2 linked regions of the Rattus norvegicus genome follow. The protein of the gene in region 2 interacts with the protein of the main gene of each other region in a pairwise test. Links are inferred from orthologs where the notes say so. Each region holds a gene or a part of one and is shown on either strand. Other genes may lie near its edges. The genes, in order: Ubtd1 and Mid1.

Region 1 (3,677 bases), on a different chromosome or scaffold from region 2:
AGGTTTAACCTGCCAGTGGCCTACAAATGCTGTGCGCTTCACCTGCAAGCGACGCGCCTGCAGAGACCCCTCTGGTGAGGTGCACAGTTCCGCAGAAGAAACACGAGGGATCAGCCCCGTCTGCCTCTGCCTCTTGTCATCCCATGCTCTGACACAGCATGGACACTGCATCTCCAGGATCCCACAAGGGCTGTGTGGGGTGGCTGCCACAGAGCTTATGCTGCCTTCTGTGGATGCTCCTTCACTCTTTCATATCTGCCCCCCACCCCCACCCCAGTGCCCCACACACTTAACTCTCCCAGCAACTGCTGCAGGAGGCAGCAGCAGAGGCCGTCTCTATAAAGAGCAAAGTGCATTTGGAGGAGAAGTGGCTTTCCAGAACCCGCAGGAACACATCGAGGTTGGATGAGATCAGGGCCCACAGGAGGAGCATCAGGTTGGATGCTCTGCTGTGCCTGTCTGTAGCCAAACCAGCAGAAGCTCCGGGCTCCACCATGCTGTGAAATGTGAAGTCATGTGCTAGGCAAAAGAGGAGCAAAGGCTTTATTGATAAAATGCAGATGTGTGTGTACACAGGGCCCAGCTGGGGCCATGGCCAGGCTTCCGACCCACCCTGCCTGGGTTACAGTTGGAGATAGCCCTGTGCAAACCTCTGCCATAAAGCCTATCTGGCCACCTGCCTCATCTCTGCAGATTGTGCTGGGTGCAGGAAGAGACAGAGAGGCCCACCTCAAGCTCCTCAAGCCCTGGGGCACACTGGGCTCCCTCCCCATCCAGGGGACTGGTACTGTGCCCAGGGCAGAGTTATGGTGAGGGATAAAGGGGGAGACAGCAATTGCTTCCGACCCTGAGCAGAAAACTGGAGTGAGCACAGTGGTGGCACCAGATGACAGATCTGGGTTCCAGGTCTGCAGGACGGCCCCCATGGTTCCAACCTGTGGCGGAGAGTGCCACGTGCCTTTTCTCCGACAAGGTTGGCAAGGCCTGTGTGTGGCAGGCAGCACTGCTCCCTGGGTGCTGAGCACTGGTTGATCCAGTGCCCTGGAAGGCCAGTCCCTTCCCAGCTCACTGAGAGCCATACGGCAGGGTGGCGGGAGGCGACCCTGAAGACAGCAGCACTGGAAGGCAGCAACAGGCCTGGGCCCCACAGCCTGCAGGGGACCTCCATGGCCTCTTTCCCCAGGAGTCAGATGCCTTCAGTCCTGGGGTGGTGGGGGCTGGTTAATGATGACCTGGATGACAAAGTCTTTTTGAATCTTGGTCTCCTGGAGCCTTGTGCGGTCTGTGAGCAGCTTCCCAGAGAAGAACCATCTCTGCCAGGATGGCTCAATGCCCTCCTGGCTGTGCAGCTGCCTCTTGAGCTGCCCCACTGTGTCAGGCAGGCTGGCACTGAGCCTCACGTCCTTGCCTGTGGAGAGGCGCACTTTCAGTGGGAATTCACGGCGCACACTAGGGGTGGGCTCAGGAGGCTCCAGGCTCTCCTCCTCTGTGTGCTCCAGCAGCAGGTTCACAGGCGGTGACAGGCAATAGATGGGCAGTTGATAGCGATTGCCCAGCTCGTCATAGCATTCACAAAGAGTTCCTGTGGGAAAGGCAGGGAGATCAGTGTGGTCTGGGGACCCGATGTCACACACTGAATGCTGTCCCACCCTGCCCCCCAAAATTCCCATGTTGAGGCATATTTGGAAGGAATAAGATTACACAAGTAAATGACAAGGGCCCAATCTGATAGAACCAGCTTCCTTACAAGGAAAAGCCCCAGAGACCCTGCCCAGTCCTGCGTGCCTACCACGCAAACCAGCAAAACAGCAAGAAGCACCACCAGGACTAAACAGCTGACCCTTTGATCTTGGACTTTCCAGTCTCTTGAATTGTGAGACAAATTTCTAATGTTTAAGGAACCCTCCCGCCTGTGGTCTCTGTTACAGCAGTGTGAGCAGGTAAACTTGCCCACTACAGATAGCACACAGTCCCCAGTCCTACTCCACAGTCAGGACTCTGGGGCTAACTGCCTAGTCATCAGGTGCCAGCTCCCTCAGCCATGACACTACCTTTCACGTGTTTATTCCGCATTCTGGCTGAGTACAGGTGCTAGGTGTGGGTTAGGCCCCAGTTTGCTACTGGTGTAATATAGTGCGGATGGGACAGTTACTTAGTCTCCAGCATCCTCCTGAGGCTGGTACTGGACAGGTGGTATTGTGCACATCGTGATTGATCCATTGTGATTGCAAGGGGCTCAGGCTCCACCCCAAGACTTGCCCTGCTCTGGGACACACGGCAAGGAAAGGTCACAAGCTGAGAAAGGAACACGGTCAAGACCCAGGTCTGTGACTGAAGGTCTGCTGTTACTTTCCCTTCACAGCTAGTGAGTGTGCTAGGGGCAGAAACGCGGAAATGCAGCAGAAGGCTCCAGATCAGGGCCGCAAATGCTGTCTGAGGCCCTGAGTGTCTCCAGCAAGCCTTTAGCTCTTTATTAGTTTTATTGGTGCCTTTCTGTCTTCTCATTAGGAAAAGGAGGGTCCTGTCCGTCATCCCTCCTACTCTTCTTCTATCCACCTGACAGTCTCATGTAATCTAGGCTGGCCTTAAACTTGAACTTCAGACTCCCGTGTCTACCTCTCATAATCACAGACAGGTGTTACTATGCTTAGTTTTGTGTCGTGTTTTTTTGTTCATGCCATAAAGAGTTGTTTAAATGAACAAGACAGCCACACATACCCATACTCCATCATCTCCACTAAACAGAAGCTTCTCACATGTGACTGGCTTTCCACCTCTGTACTAATGAAACCCCCACCCCCAGACCAGGTCAGAATAGAGCCCAGGCCCTGCCTGCTCACCATGAGGCAGGGTGATGCTGGCTCCATCCAGGATGGCCTGAGCCAGCTCATGGTCGTTGGCTTCAGCAGCATAGGCAGCAGCCTTGAGGGCATCCCAGATCTCCTTGCGACCCTCGAAGGCAGGCGCTGTGTCCCAGAACTCATCTCGCTTGCTCCGCAGCTGCCCATCAGTCATGGGGTAGTCACTCTTCCACTTGAGCCGCTCCTTCTTCAAGGGCTCATTGCGACCTGGGGCAAGACAGACGCAGATGCTCAGCATCTCCAAAGCCACTTAAGCCATAACCGACCCTCTCTCCAGCCTGGCCTATCAGGGACTTCACTGCACCAGGCCCTATGTATTTAGGGCACCAGGACACTTTCTGAATAGCAGGGGAGAGTGTGGAAACCAAGTTAGGAATATGAAGTACACACTCCAGGCAAGGATGCTCTTGTCCCTTGTATGTATTTACTCTTATTTTATATGTGTGCACCACGTCCACGCCTAGTGGCTAAGGAAAGCAGTAGAGGAGGGTGTTAAATCTCTAGGAACTGGAGTAATGGATGGCTGTGAGCTGCCACAGGGGAGGTGAAACTAAACCTGGGTCATCTATAAGAGGAGCAGGTTCTTAACCACTAACCACTCACTAACCACTTAACCATCTCTCTAGCCCCGGAGCCAAGCATGTTCTGTACAGAAGTACTTCAGCTTACAGTGTGTGACTAAATCCATCATAAACTGAAAATATTCTGAGTGTCAGCTGTCCGAGACAGCTGCTACCCAGCACGGGGAGGGTGTCACATTGCACATTGCTAACAGAGGACAAGATCACACCTCAAAGCTGAGGTGTGGTTTCTACT
Region 2 (3,820 bases):
CCAAGGAGAGAAAGAAACTATCTTCAGATTCCTTTTCTTTAAAACTGAAATGCTAAGCTCAATTCCAAAGCAAACAAAGAAATCTTCAGTTTCTAAAACTACAGCCAACAAAATCAGCAGCATTATCTTATTTCCAGTGAGATTAGTTTTGCAGAAGAGGACACAGGCTTGCAAAGAAACAGTTCAGAAATAAAGAAATCACAGACAAAAAGGACTCAAAGAAGAAACTCATAGCTCAGAATGCAATAAATAAGTTTTGGAGGTAAACTCATAGACAATTATGCAACAGAAAATGGCTACAGAAGAAATTGGGCAACTGAGTTTTGGCCTCTGCCTGGAGAAGACCATAAATGTAAGGAGGGACAAAAGAGTCTGGGTGACATTCAAGCAGCACAGATATCCATGGATTCAAAGATTAAAGTTAGATTGGTATTTTAAATGCTAGTCCTGACCATACTAGTGATTCATCACCTGGAGATTTAAAATCATTCATTGCTCGTTAAAATGCAAATTAGTGTTGCTCTGCCAATTATAGCTCATTAACTAGAATATTGGAGGATGTGCCCAGACATCTAAAGTTTTCCTTTGAAAGCTCCCCAGCTGATTCTTTTGCATACAGTGTATGAGAATCTCTGATGCCACTGTAAACTGGCCTATAATTAAAAGTATGTCCTATATGGAAGTTCTCTTTAGAACACTGGTAGTTTCACAGGACACTCTCAATTTCCTTTATATCGATATATGCAGTTTGGGGTTTTGTTTTCTTGTTCTTATATATCATCTTTAACTTCCAATATCCTCATAGAGAAAACAGAAAAATATGAAGTTGAAGAGTAGTCATTGTTACATTTGTCCTATGTGTGGTCTCTACTTTATATATTCAAAGGATAAGAGATGGCATGAAATGACTCCAAAAGAAATTTTGACCTCATTTTCTTTTGTGAGAATTATACCAAATGCCTTCAACTTGGCCATGCAATTTAAATTATTCTTTAGTTATATGATTAAATATTCTATACATTTGGTTTATTGTAGACACTGTTAATTTATTTTCCCTTCTGGAATTTTCCCTTCCTCTGGCAGTTTCTAATAGCTGTGTTCTAACATCCTGAATTAGACTGCAGGTCTGTCTTGACCTTGACTATCTATATAATGTTGCCAGAAGCTCTGTTCTATTTGGTGTAAAATGGCATTATTTTTTGTCCATATCCTGATATGGACAAGAACTATCATTATAATGAACGATGTATTTTTACCATGCTTGAGATCACATACTCTTAGCTGCCAAGTTTGGACATTTCATTCTGACTCATTATTTTCATAGATTCTTTCAACCTTGCCTAAAATCATGGGCTCAGCACCTCACAATTCAGCTGTAGTTTCCTTTGTTTGCCATAGTACACATGTGGAATTGGACATTCCCTGGAATTCTACAGATCTGACATCTCCTTCCTTCCTTCCTTTGCTTCAAGATTAGAGTTGTCCTGGGATGATAGTGATGACTTGGAGAAAGCAAAAATTCCTTTAAGTTAGCAGGAATTCTGGAGGGAGTTTGAGCCTGCCTTGTCCGTAAGACAGATTAACCAGGCGTCCTCCCTACCCTTTCACCCAAGGCTATTTTCCATTCCGGAATTATCAGAAAACCAGCCAAAACCTGTCCCCTCTTGTGTAGGTGGGGCCAGTAGGCACGAGGTGATTCCAATTACTGGTCTAATTTTAACTTGGCTCCTGGCCGGAGGGCTTCAGCTTATAGCACATTTCAAACACCAGAGCCTCAGTCAAGTGGCTTACCGTGGACTTATCTTGGCCTGTGAGAGGTTATGGATAATTATGTTGGAGGGTTTTTTTTTCAAGCAACACAGAATTAAGACCTAGAATGGAGATTGCAAAACAACTATGTGTTTTATCCCAAATGGGAAATGCTTATCAAAACAGTTAACTTATCAAGTGAGCACAAAGTGACTGGAAATGACGTTTACAGTGAGAGGAAATGGCCCAGCTGTGCTTTTTTTGGCTTTCTCTCATCAGTTCAATAAGAAAAATATTAATCAATGGGAAAAATGTTCCCCTTCTATTAATTTAATACACAAGTTTTAGGCAGTATGGAAAATAGGAATATCTAATACTTTCATGTCACAACTTTATTACATGGATTACAAAGAATGTTTTATGAAACTTTTTTTAACTTAAGACTCAAATTTATACCTATAGAAATGCTTTATTTTCCTAAGGGCATACTGAAAACCTGAGATGGAGTAAGTTCCAGGGTTCCCTAAGGTCCTGAAGTAATTATGTAGGATAGTTGAGGGAAGAGGTTTAGTGACCCTTTGTCACTTGCCACTGAACAACACCTCCCCCCCATCAACAGAGAAGTAATTAGCAATGCAATGCTTCCTCATAAAACAAATTATTAATGTTTCTTCAAGGACAGAAAGTATAAGTTCTGTAATTGTGTCTTCCAGATTTCAATCTCTCTCTTCTTAAACATAAGAGACTGTGCAACTCTGAAGGGTCCATCCCTGAGCCATCTCTCAAGTGTAACCTACCATGCTTCTTTTCTTCTAGGTGATGAGGCTCCGCAAATTAGCTCAGCAGATTGCAAACTGTAAACAATGCATTGAAAGGTCTGCATCACTCATTTCCCAAGCAGAACACTCACTGAAGGAGAATGACCATGCCCGTTTTCTACAGACAGCAAAGAACATCACTGAGAGGTGGGTGCAGGGACAGTTGGGAAGTTTTCAGACTGCTGATTGCTTATGTCTGGGTTTGACTGGTTGGCCTTGCTCTCAAACTGACTCCTTTTCTGTTTGAGATTGATCACCAGAGAGAATAGAAGCTTTTGCTATTTTGCTCCAGTTAAGTGACAAAAGCAAAACAAAACAAAACAAAACAAAAAAAAAATCCTTTCCATAACAGCCTATAGTTCAGGGTCTTTTTATCAAAAGGTTCACCAGTTAGACTAAAATCAACCATTTTGTGTGTGGAGGAGTGCTGGGGGTGGGGTGGTGGTACAGAAACATCATTTGTTGTAATTCTCAAATTTGATCTTATCACGTCCTTATTATCAAAGAATGAAGGTGCAGTCAAAATACATAAAAGGGAAACATGTTTTCCACTGCATGGTTCACTTTTTTAAAGAAAACAACTGCTGCACGGTGTTGTTTCTGTTAGTCCTGTTTTTACTTGACTGAAAATGTTGACATCACCAGAAAAGGCCAAGACTGATTAATGTGGGAGAGAAAGGTCAAATGATCAAGCTCCCACTGCCTTAGTTTAGAATACCTTCTGTTTCTGGGGAGGAAAATTAGAAATGCTGTTACTGGTATAGTGACTTCAGCATTAAGATAGGTGAAGGTTAGTCTTCTCTTGGTCCACCGACATGCTTAGTATAGAAATTACTCATTTCCCTGGTCATAGACCCATATAATGAATCCAGCGGATCCCAAGAGAAGGCTGGCCTGTATACAGCCCTTTCTAGATCAATGACATCACAAAACATCACCAAACACTTTGACTTTTCATTTATTCTAGTTCCTTTTTATGCACACCTTTACAGAATTGTGTCATAAAAAGGCCCCAGAAAACTCATTCATCCTAGCCTTTATCCTAAAGCAGACACCACCGTACTGTTTCAGAAAGTAAATTATTTTCAGCTTTGCAGACTATAAGGGATTTATCACAGTTATTCACTGCTGCCTGGGTAGCTCCATGTTAGCCACAGGGAGCAAATAGGTGTGGCTGTTTGCCAATGAGTCCATTCACAAAACAAGCTGCAGGTGTTCCTTTACCAACCCATGGTCTTAGAGGGGAAACATGC

What was found.
Region 1: the proteins of Mid1 (region 2) and Ubtd1 interact in binary tests that used the Homo sapiens proteins (3 or more experiments, as listed by UniProt). The two-hybrid records come from large-scale screens. The link is inferred for Rattus norvegicus from reciprocal best matches to the Homo sapiens genes MID1 and UBTD1.

Annotation. Positions count from the first base shown.
Region 1 is NC_086019.1:250,791,947-250,795,623, reverse strand, and holds the end of Ubtd1 (ubiquitin domain-containing protein 1), read right to left. Parts: intron 3,069-3,677; coding exon 2,841-3,068; intron 1,583-2,840; coding exon 1,197-1,582; 3' UTR 528-1,196; downstream 1-527. UniProt on the Homo sapiens protein: May be involved in the regulation of cellular senescence through a positive feedback loop with TP53. Is a TP53 downstream target gene that increases the stability of TP53 protein by promoting the ubiquitination and degradation of MDM2.
Region 2 is NC_086039.1:27,715,843-27,719,662, reverse strand, and holds part of Mid1 (E3 ubiquitin-protein ligase Midline-1), read left to right. Parts: intron 1-2,565; coding exon 2,566-2,714; intron 2,715-3,820. UniProt on the Homo sapiens protein: Has E3 ubiquitin ligase activity towards IGBP1, promoting its monoubiquitination, which results in deprotection of the catalytic subunit of protein phosphatase PP2A, and its subsequent degradation by polyubiquitination.